Arabidopsis thaliana: one gene and its partner. The protein of the gene in region 2 interacts with the protein of the main gene of each other region in a pairwise test. Each region holds a gene or a part of one and is shown on either strand. Other genes may lie near its edges.

What was found. The genes of interacting proteins can lie anywhere in the genome.
Region 1: the proteins of FAR1 (region 2) and HAM3 interact in a two-hybrid assay, tested with the Arabidopsis thaliana proteins (one large-scale study listed by BioGRID).

What each region holds. Positions count from the first base shown.
Region 1 is NC_003075.7:56,501-61,258, forward strand, and holds HAM3 (GRAS family transcription factor), read right to left. Parts: upstream 2,996-4,758; 5' UTR 2,606-2,995; coding exon 929-2,605; 3' UTR 640-928; downstream 1-639. UniProt on the Arabidopsis thaliana protein: Probable transcription factor involved in plant development.
Region 2 is NC_003075.7:8,612,056-8,618,848, reverse strand, and holds FAR1 (FRS (FAR1 Related Sequences) transcription factor family), read right to left. Parts: upstream 4,790-6,793; 5' UTR 4,576-4,789; exon of another isoform or gene 4,157-4,575; 5' UTR 4,044-4,156; coding exon 1,920-4,043; intron 1,824-1,919; coding exon 1,770-1,823; intron 1,650-1,769; coding exon 1,581-1,649; intron 1,487-1,580; coding exon 1,424-1,486; intron 1,332-1,423; coding exon 1,260-1,331; intron 1,172-1,259; coding exon 1,124-1,171; intron 1,033-1,123; coding exon 979-1,032; 3' UTR 679-978; downstream 1-678. Other genes in the region: catalytic LigB subunit of aromatic ring-opening dioxygenase family, read right to left, coding at 1-22, 159-395; AT4G15080 (DHHC-type zinc finger family protein), read left to right, coding at 6,620-6,664, 6,750-6,793. UniProt on the Arabidopsis thaliana protein: Transcription activator that recognizes and binds to the DNA consensus sequence 5'-CACGCGC-3'. Activates the expression of FHY1 and FHL involved in light responses. Positive regulator of chlorophyll biosynthesis via the activation of HEMB1 gene expression.

The DNA of each region.
Region 1 (4,758 bases), 8.6 Mb from region 2:
AGAGACAATAACTTGCGGCATATTGTCATTTTTCACTCACAAATTTTAGTCGTCTTTCTCCATTTAATCAACTCTTGATATGTTTCTAAAACGGAAATCTTTTGTAATGCTTAATTAGGACCTTAGATGTTTGAATATATATTTTAAATAATTATCCTAAATGATGTTTTAATATAAAGAGTAAACCAAAATATGTTGGTTTGTATTACTTAGATTAGCTTGTAATCTTTTTATTGAAATGAAATCTTCACATTAAAACCCCAAAAAAAACATGTTGATGTATTGTATACACTTGGTTTGTTTCTGAAATATTTCTATAGAGAAATGCAGTTAATGCGTAAAGCAAATGGGCGCATTATATATGTAATGCGTATGGACCATTTAAAGGAGAAAAAGCAAACCTTTGTTTCGTCGGAGAAAAAAAAAGGTTAGAAACGGCGCACACAAAAATGTATTGTGGTCCAAATAAATAAAATAATACAAGACCCATGTGACATCATGGAGACATATGTTTATAAATTAAAAATAGACCCCTCGCAAAGACACAAACCACAACAAACTCTAACCATTATATAATCATATAATCACAATAATGAGCAGTAGCTTTCTGCCTCGCATCAAAATCAACACCCCATTCATTTTTAATTAGAAAAATATAGTATTGAGCTAATCCAAGCATTATTCTATCACGTTATTTAGTCGATCAAAAATAATCCCCACAATTAATATATATTGAATGTGTTATACAATAAGTGTTTGATAATCAGACAATTAATTAACTTCTCACAAAAATTTATATATTTGTGTGAAACTTAAATTTAAAAATCCATCGCACTGAGCAAAATAAAATCAGAAACTAAAAATTTGTCATTTAAGATAAATTGAATTAAGGAAAATATTTTTTTAATAATTGAAACTCCGGTGGAAATCAGGAGGAGCGACATCTCCATGCTGAAACTCCGACGAGTTCTGTCCTTTGCCAACATAGGAGAAGTGAGTTATGTTTCTTCTCGACGTGAAAGCCTCTCACTGGCGTCCGTTGGACTAAACACTCGGCTTGAGACTCCGTGAAGTTACTGTGCGTCACCGGTGAGAAACCCATCTGTAGAAACATCGCTTGCCACGTCATCATCGGCCTTTCTATCGGACGGCTACGATCCAACACCAGCTTCTCTATCTCCGGCTGTATAAGAAACCTCTCGATCTTCTGCATTGCGTCGAGGTTGGCGTTGACGGCGTCGAGGGATTCGAAGAGAGCGGTGTGTGAGTGCAGCGAGTGGGCGAGCTGTTGAGAGAAGGGCAGATCCGTCCTCTCGCATCCTCTGTCGGAGCAGACGATGATCGTCGGAGATAGATGCTTCACGAAACGGAGGACCAAAGGGAGGTGCGAGAAGGACGCGGCGGAGATGTTAACGGCGACAGCTTCTTTCTCCGACGAGTTAGGCCACGAGATGGAGCCGAGGAGGTCTAAGCTCAAAACTTGGATGTCAAGGGAGATGTTGATCTCAGAGGCGAAGTGCTTGAGGTTGTCTTGAGTGAAGCCAAGTTCGAGCTGGTCGTGGTTCGCCGGAGAAGCGAAAACGGTGATCTTGAGGGAGAGAGGAGCGGCGTTGTCGCGGAGAACAAGCTCTTGCATGAGGGAAGCCCATTGGCCACCGTAGCCGATATCGAAGTCGATGATGTGGAGACGGTGGAAGCCATGGAAGGACTCTAAGAGGGCTTGGTTGGAGGTAAAGTTGGCGAACTGAAGAACGGGAGAGATCTCTGAGAAGGATTTGTAAGCAGCGATCTTGAAGATGAGGGAATAAGGGTTTAGGGTTTGGGAGACGTTGTGAAGGAGATTATTGAGAGCTTCTTTGAAGTAAAAAGCTGCTCTTTCTAATGGCTTCCCGACGGGAGAAGAGAGCTGTTGATTGAGCCGCGCCAATATCCCCTGAGCTAGACACGTGTCGCTCTCTATGACCTCTGCTGCCTTAACCAGCTGCTCTGTTATCCCCACGGGACCAGGGTTGAGCCGCTTTGCCGGCGGAGGTGTATGGTGGTGGTGGCCGTAGAAGATAGCCGCAGGATTCTGTGTGTAGTGGGTTTGACTTTGGTTGATCAGAAGACCGGAAACATGTGACGGCGGAACAGAGTGGTGGTCTAAACCGAAGCCGGTGTCGACGACTCCGAAACCGGGTGATGAGTAGTCAGAGTCGTGGAAGGTGGGAGATGTTTGGAGAATGCTGTTGAGTTCAAGAGAGGGATCTGTGGAATCTCCCATGATGAGTCCGAGAATGCTCTGTTCGTGGTCATGAGGAACTTGCTCCTCCCAATCACCCAACCCAATGGCTCCGCATTGCTCATCGGTGGTGGCGTCGCCGCCGCCTCCGACGGCGCTGTTTCCGCCGTGAGAGGAAGACACCGTGGAGGAAGAGGTTGGGCTTATGAGGGAGTCCAGAACAGAGGTAGGCTCCGCCGCGGGAACTTCTTCCTCTTCTTCTTCGCCGCCTCTTGCTTTGCGGTGGCTCAAAAGCGGAGACGACGGTGGTTGGGGGAAGGAAGACGAGAAAGAAGAGAAACAAGAAATCCCCTTCCCTTGAAACTCTTCAAAGGGTAAGGGCATTGCAGACGATAAAAAATAGTGTATTTGTCTTCTTGAAGCTCTTCTTCTTCTTCTTCTTCTTCGTTGTTGTGATGTGGTGTGGTGAGGTATATTGGATGCGTGCAAGATATTAAAGTGGCAAAGTGGGCTTCCTCCTTTCTTTTTCTCTCTTATTTCCGTTTCCTATCATTTTGCCTTTGTCATTAACTTAGCTGATTAAACAATTCATCAGCTTCTCTTACACAACATTTTGTTAATCTTTGCTTTCTAATCTTAACTATGTCTTCTATTACAACCCCACTCTTACATCACGCGCGTGGCTTGCAAACTCCTTTCAGTGACATGAACATGATGGTAAACAAAAATACTAAATGTTATGATATATTTTTAAATATTGTATTTGTCTTCTTGAATTACTAGAAACTATTAAAAAAAAAAAACATTTTCCCCATATTTTTGATGTTGTACTGTATATTTAGATGTCATAATACTTGCCCAAAAAAAAAAAAGGATGTCATAATATATTGGGAATGTTTTTGTTTTCTTATAATTTATTTTCATGATTAAAACTTTGTGGCTTGCAAACTATATTTGGGATATTGTTTTGTTTTGTTTTATCTCAAAGGTGCTGTCGTTATTTCCTTTTGTGTGATCTTTGTCCCCAATAGTTTGTTTTAGGGTTTGGACAAGCTTTTGGATCATCTTTATCAAATTAACCACTCAAATCACCCAATCCATTGTACGAGCTAAACCACATATTGCAGTGCTTATATTAATTTGTGTTTCCTTTTTTTTTTTTTTTTTGCTACGGACATAATCTAAATTTATAAATCTAAACAAAGTGGAAACAAAAACTATGTATATATTGGAGTTACATCAAAAATATCTGTTTTGTTTTTCTTGTTTTAACTTAACGAGATACGAATGATCGTCATTATCTGAAACATTCATGTACTACTTATAACAAAGAAGGAGTTATATATATATTTACGTGTATATAAAAACATACTTTCTTTGGTACATCTTTTCGTTTGAAGGAAAAAAGTGATTGAAGATCTGTGAATGATGTTTCTTCTGTGACAAGTTAAATGCACGAGAGATTGAGAAAGAACGAGTGGTAGTCCTTTATTGAGCAGACAATGGAAGTCACCAATCACCATATATATACATATATAAATATATCTACCAATGGAAAACCCTATAATAAATAAATGAATAAAGCAATCAGAAAAAACAACAAGAAAGAGAGGTGGGTAATTGATGAAGACAGATTAAAATCGGACCAATTTTGCAATGAATGGCGACAGTTTCATTATCATGTATTCATGATAATGAAAAAGCATTTACTTTTCTATGCAAACCAATTCATTAGTATAAACAATATCAAAGAAAAAAAAAAAAGTATAAACAATATCAGATTCTGAATCTATCTTTTATATGCGAATTATGACCGCACAAAAAAACACAGAGTTCAGTTTCTTGTATAGTAATTTTTAGTCCCATATTATAATACTTGTTAAGTACCATAAATATTTGATGATTATTGATAGTTAACTTACTTTATATAACAACAAAAAGTTAAAATGTTCATTTTTAAGATTTAATTAGTTTATATGTTCCCATGTGATTTGCTAACAACTACTTCTCACACTTTTCTTTCTTATACAAAATTATTATAAATCTTGAAATGATCGCGAAACTGTATTAATATTATTTCTTATTGACATACATAATACACCAACACATTTTCAAGTTTCATGATATATTAATATAATATTTGGTATATTGGAATACTAAATATATGTGTGTGTTAACTTCGTGAGGGTGAAGTAAGTTACGTGGTGAAAACATGTTCTTTTCTCTCGTCTCAAGGCACCCTTCATCACAAGCAACACACCCAACCCCACTCAATCGGATAGTTCGTATGATGAACAGAATCGTGCTTTGCCATAATTAGAGGAAGAAACAAGTCAGCTAAATATATTAATCTTGTCAAACAATAATTTATATTGAAGGATAACGTGTTAGAGTTTGTATGCATGTAACCATATATAAATGATTGCGTCGTTCATTTTGTATTAGATTTTAGGATGATGATTAGTTAGATTAGACAAAAATTGATCAATTATTATTAGGAGATCACATGGGACTGATAAGGATAAAGAAAAATAGAG
Region 2 (6,793 bases):
CTCCTGGTGCTTCATATTTCAACTACAGACAAAAATATCAAATCAAACCCAAGAGAGATGATTTAAACATTTAAAAATCAAAACTTTATGCATCCTTCAACGATCTAAGAGCCCTAAAAATCTGTTGAGACAAAAAGTTATATTTTTTTTGGTTTTACCTTGTACATAGGATCAGGGAAGCCAGAGAAATCGTGGATCGTGTTATTGCGAAGAACAGTGTTGACAGATGGGAATTTGGTGTCCCAATGAGCAGAGATGACTAAAATCGATTTGGGTTTTTGAGGAAGAACTTTTTGAGTCCATGATTTGAAGAATTGTCTCGCTTCCAAGGAATCATCTATGCTCAAAGTTGGAGATCCATGAGATAAGAAGAAGGTTTGATTCACTTTCTCCATTGAAAATTGAAATCTCTCGAGATCTTTGCCTCTCTTTTTTTTTTTTTGCAAATGTTTCTTTTGACCAACTCTATTAGTTTTGGTTCTTCCCCAGTTTTGATGTTGTCTGAATAAAGAAACCTTTTCTGTTTGTTTGTTTTGTCAAAAGGGACACACCTACATACGACAACGACCAGGGAATGTGTATTTAACCAAATTAACCACATTTAATCTAAAAATAACTTTTTGTTTCTACTAAATAAGTTGAAACCTGTTTTAACAATTTTGATTTAATGTGATCTCAAAATTACTTGTTTGACTAATACACAGAGGATAGATTTCTATGTGTTTAGATAAAGATGTTGTTACAAGTGCATCTATTAAATCTCAAGACATTCAATCAGATAACACAATATTTCATCCCACATTAATACATCATAAGGCAATCCCATAATATACAGAAACCAATTTAAGAAAAGATTACATCTTGTCATTGCAACTCAGCTCCATGAAAGATCTTGTGTTTTTCTCATGTTTGGAACAGCTTCTTGCAAATGTTTCCTGAGACAAAACTTCTCTCCAAAGTAATCAAAACGTGTTGCTACTATAGCTGCCTTGATGAACTACCAGGTAATTGGGCAGAACTCAAATGCTCTTCCTGGAATAACGAAAAGATTTAACGATATCAACACGTGTGGTTCGAGTACAAAATGATACTAAAGTAAAGACTTTATCCAGGCAGCTGAGACCTGTAAAGTGTAAGTGAAATTGGGAGGAGGTCTGAAATCGATTTGACCCTGGACCGGACAATAAACAAAAGATGTTAACAACACGATCATTCATAACACAGTTTTTAAAATCAGTTTGAAGGATTTTATAATGTACCACCATCCCAGACATGGCTTGCTGATTCGTGAAGAAGCTATCCTGCGCCGGTGCTATCGAATTCAGTTGTCCCTGAAGAGTCAAAAGAACCAAAATTCATGTCGTTGACTTATACTCTAGCACAGATTTGGGAGATTCAAGCATTTAAACTATATGTAACCTACCAGGCCTTGGATGGTTCGTTGATCTACATAGTAGCCTTCATGAGGTGGCTCCATTAAATTTAACTATATCCACAGTTTAAACAGGTTTAGTATTAGGGTTTATAATAGATGTCGAATGGCTTAACCAGGTTTGTATTAATCAACTAACATAGCATACCAGTCCTTGAACGTTCTGTTGAGGACCATAGTAACCATTCATGTCCATCGCCTCTGAACTTATAGTTTCCTGCACAAAATGTTAAAACTATAAGGCCATATATCCAAGACATCCTACTCTTAATCTCATAAAGCAATGTGCAGTTACAATGATCAAACTAATTAGAGAAGATCAAATCAAAGCACAAACCATTGGTTGCAAGCTCTGTTGAGATTCAAGCATTTGGCTAGCCTCTTGTTGTCCCTGCATAAGATCAATTTGAGTATCTTCTTTTTAACCTTTGAAGCTAAGAAAATGTACGTAGGTTTAGATTGGCGAGAAGCTTCAGTAAAAGCATACCTTTCTTTTCCTATATACAGTCTTCTTTTTTGTTGCTTTTACCCCAGCCATTACCTGGTTTTCTTCTTCGTGAGTACCATTATTAAGCTGGCTATTAGACTCAGTGATGTTGTTTCTAGCATTATTCATATCAACACAATTTTTCAGGGTCTCGACTAGTGTGCGCAATGCGATGTTGTAGTTTTCTTCTGACACACAACCTTCCTCACTCAATTCAGTGGCTCGACTACACAAATCGTTATAGCGCTGAACTCGGGTCTGTATCTGGTCTGCTCCTTCACCAGCTAATACTCCACTCTTAGCATCTTTTGTCCACCTTTTCAATATATACTGAGGCGGGATGCTGGCGAAACCACACATCTGCAGAATCATCAAAGCATGCCGACAAAGAAACCCTTTGTATTCAAACATACGACAGAAGCAGCAAAGTTCTGACTTAGTTTTGCTCCACGTTACAAGAAAGTCATCGTCTTTTTCACAGTCTTGAACTCTAAACGTCGCCATATTTTCATCTTCTTTTTCCTTTCTAGGATGGCAAGCGACAACCCCCAAGACCTCGACTTGAAATTTCTTAAATATTGTGTGGGTGTAAGTTGTTGCCATTTGCTTCTCCCAGGGCGAGGGGGACTTCAATGCAGGTTGCTTGTGGCAAGTATCGAAATCTGCAACAGATTCCTCTTCGTACCTATTCTGCAGAATCACACCGTATTGCCTCAAGAACTCTTTCAGCGTGATTTTCTTATGGATGTACTTATCGAAGAAAGAGTTCACACTTTCTGAACGTTGAGATGTCGACATGCCTGCCAGAAACACATCGCTCATAAATGTGGGCACCCACTTTTGGCGATGTTCATGCAACCATAGCAGCCATTCATCATTCTCAAGTCCAAACTGGCTGACCATTTTCCACCACCTCATATCAAACTCATCATCTGTCCAAGATCTGAAAATGCATTTGTTGAATTTCAGTAAGAAATTCTCGTGCCGTTTCATCACATGTGAGAAATATTCAGGAATCTTTTCTAAAACATGCCATAACGCAAAGCAATGACGAGTGTTTGGTAGGAGCTCTGAAACAGCAGACATCAAGAATTTATCTTGGTCAGTGAGTATAACTTTAGGAGCTCGACCACCCATTGCTCGTAGCCATGTTTTTATCAGCCACACAAAAGTCTCCATAGACTCATCAGCAACCAATGCACAGCCTAGTAACATAGGTTGGGAGTGATGGTTCACCCCAATAAATAAAGCTAGTGGCAACTTATCGTTAAACTTGACATAAGTAGTATCAAAGGATACAACATCATTGAAACTCAAATAGTCATCTCTGCTCTTGGCATCAGCCCAAAACAGATTTCTTAAACGTTGGTCCTCGTTCAGGTCTATAGCATAAAAGAATTTAGGGTTTTCTTTCTTGATACGCTTGAAGTACTCAAGCAGTACTTGAGAATCTCCTTCTTCCAAAGCTAGATACCTACCCTTATCAACCTGACTGCTGACATCGGTCTGAAGAAGAGACCCGATATTCTTATATCCGCCAGATTGTCTCGACATTTCAACATACATTTTTTTGGTCCGTTCACTAACCGCATGCAGAATGTCGATATTATTCTTCTCAGCTAACTTGACATTCCTCTGAATCCGGAAATGATAAGCAAGGGCAGGTAAAAGTTCGTGATTGTGATCCTTTACAAACTCATGAATGATCCATTTCCCATCTGGTCTTCTCTTCACATGCATACTAGCCTTGCAATCTGTTTTTTTCACAGTTGACCTTCGACTACTACTACCACTACTCTCAGACTCAGGAGTCACACCATATCTGGAACAAGCAAACTTAGCATCAATGAAGTCTTTAGTTTTCTTGGAACGTCTACTGTTTTTAATCGACGTAGTAAAACCCATAGATTTTGCATATTCCTGATAAAAGATATACGCTGCCTCATGGGTATCAAAGTCTATACCATTTCGTGGCTCAAGATCCAGATCACCACTAAATCCAACATCTCCACCTATATTGAACTCATCAACAATTCCTATATCTCTGTTACTATGCGGTTCAACTACAATGTCAACCATATGGTCATCCCCTGCATCACTAACCAGATTCTCTTGCAAATCCATCCTAACCTTAGCCACATATGGATTCACTAACACACTCAAAAGCAACTACCCCACTATGGGCTTCCATGAAATTGGAAACTGAAATCTTTCTACTAGATAATCCACCTTAGCACCTGAAAAATGTCACAACCAAACTTCATAAGAACCAGCGCGACATCTTCTACCTAAAAACATCAAACTTGAAACACACAAAGCAATATGAAATCAATGGAATCAAATGAAAGTGAAGAACTTTCAACAACATAACTTCTAATAGTAGAAAAGTTCTGTTTCTAAAGCCAAAAAAGAGTAAAATTTCACACAAATAAGAGAAGGAGACCTGAGAACTCAAACTAAGAGAGTCAGAGACAACATACTTCTAGTAGTAGAAAAGTTCTGGTTCTAAAATTTCAGTGAAAGAACTGAACTTTCATTAGTATCAGCATAAAAGACAGAGACTTTAATGTATCTTAAGAGAAAACCTGAGAATTCAAATGAAGAGACTACAAAATTCAGGAAATGTCAAACTTTTGGATTGGTGAGGGCTTTTTACTGTATTTTCTCGGCCACCCAGAGAGAGACAAAGGGAGGGAAGGCAAAATTCTGACGTGAAAAGAGCAAAGCAAAGAAGAACACGAAGCAGGCGAGTGGGGAAGCAAAAGCGAGTGAGGAACCAAGGAGCGTGAGAGGAGAAAATCTAGGGTTCTTTTTGGGAATTTTTAGGGATCTTGGATTATGTTTTTATTTTTATTTTTTTCATTTGTTGTAAATCTCTTACTAGCCTTTACTAATTAAACATAAAGGCTTTTTGATTGGTAACACGTGTAATGACATAATGACGTTTGTTTTCGACGCGATTTTTTTTCATAATCGCGTCTATATTTACGTTTGGCGTGTGAGAAGCATTGCTGATTTATGTATTCTTAGAAAAATTGATTATTTTAAAAGCATCAGCATTGTGATTTTTTACCAAAATCTCTCGCCTACATTAATAATAATAAAATAATAAACAATATTTTTTTAATTAAAACAATTTCTAAGAAAATATGAGAAAGTTTTTAATTTAAAAGATTTGAAAAAACTATTTTAAAAAACTCTTCAAATTAAATATTTTTTTTATTATTATTACTTTAGTAAATTAAAAACTTTGGTTAGAAACCACCACTACACATGTTCTAAAAGATTTTAATTTTAACTGTATGATAATCTTCTTTTCATACAGTTTACTATAATTTTTCCACATTTTTCAAAAGAGTTATGTAGTAAACTAAATTTATCATAACTTTTAATATGATTTTTACATCTATTTTTATGATTTTTACATAACTATTAATATCTACAGTTTTTTTTTTATTATAAGTTCAAATAAAACAAAAAATACAAGAATATTAAAATAAATAACATTAAATCTATTTTTGTACATATGAGATACATGCTTATTCTTATTATGACAAATCAAGTATACTTTTTTTTTTAATCTTTACCGTCATTTTTTCTATATATATGTGGGTATCTCATATTCTATATGTAATATGCTAATCAATTACATGATGTTGATGGCTTTCACATCAAAACAGAGCTGACATTTGCCACCAAATATAAATAAAACTGTAGGGCAAATTGTACGAGAGTTGTGCTCTGAGTCACTTGCTTTTAGATTTAGTTATGGAGTTACAAATGCAGGGTTTGCATCTTATCTTTTAATATTTTTTTTCTTTTCTACTCACATATCTTTTTTTTTATGTGGAGTGGAAGATAATTGTTTTTAATTCATTTAATATTTTTTGATTTAATTCCTTTTTAAACAGCAAAATCTTTTAATATTTGATTTAATTTGGCTAAATTCTTCTAAAAATCTGAAATTTAGACATTAAATAACTTTCTAATATATATATATTTAAGTATTACTGAGAACTTTTTAATATTATATAAAAATTATATTATTTAATTAATACTTTAAGCTACCATATTATCATTAATAATGGTTATATAATTTAAAAATAATTAAAATTTGCTACGGAAAAAAAGAAAATATCAAAGAGGTGAAATAGACACGTAAGCTAAAAATCCAGCGTTGGTACTAATAGTAACCAGTAACCACTTTCATTTGTCCGTCTCGCTCTTTTAGCCTGTCAACGCTTTTCTATTTTGTCTTTTTTCTTTCTTCTAAAAATTCTCTCTTTTATTCCTTCTTCCATTTCTCTCTCTCTTCTTCCTTCTCCAGTTACTTTGGTCTCCGCCATGGCTACACAGTAAGCTTTTTCTTCGCTATTCGACTCTAAATTTGCTAACTTTGAATTCGCTTAGGTCATCTCTAATTTCACATTCGTTATTTTTCTTTTATTTTCAATTTAATATATTACAGGAGTTTACTTTCCTCTTTCGTCACTTGACTATGACTGACCTACCATAGTTAGTTAGATAGGGAGAGATACGAAGACCAAGAAGATATTTTCTCAGCTTGGTTTCTCTTATATCCTTCTGGGTTTCGCAAAACTGCAAGCAAAATTGTCTCTTTTTACGATTTGCGGCGGCGTTAGGGTTTCGTTTAGATTTTGTGATTCGTGAGTGTGTTCAAGCTTTGGGAGGAAGCAAAAATGGTGAGGAAACATGGTTGGCAACTTCCTGCTCACAAATTTCAGGTCTTTTATTTCAACCTTTCTCTGATTTTCTCCAATTTCTAACATTTGGGTTTTAGTTCATTTGTTTCGTTTGGTCATGAAACAGGTGGTTGCGATTACGGTGTTCTGCTTATTGAGTGTAGCATACTA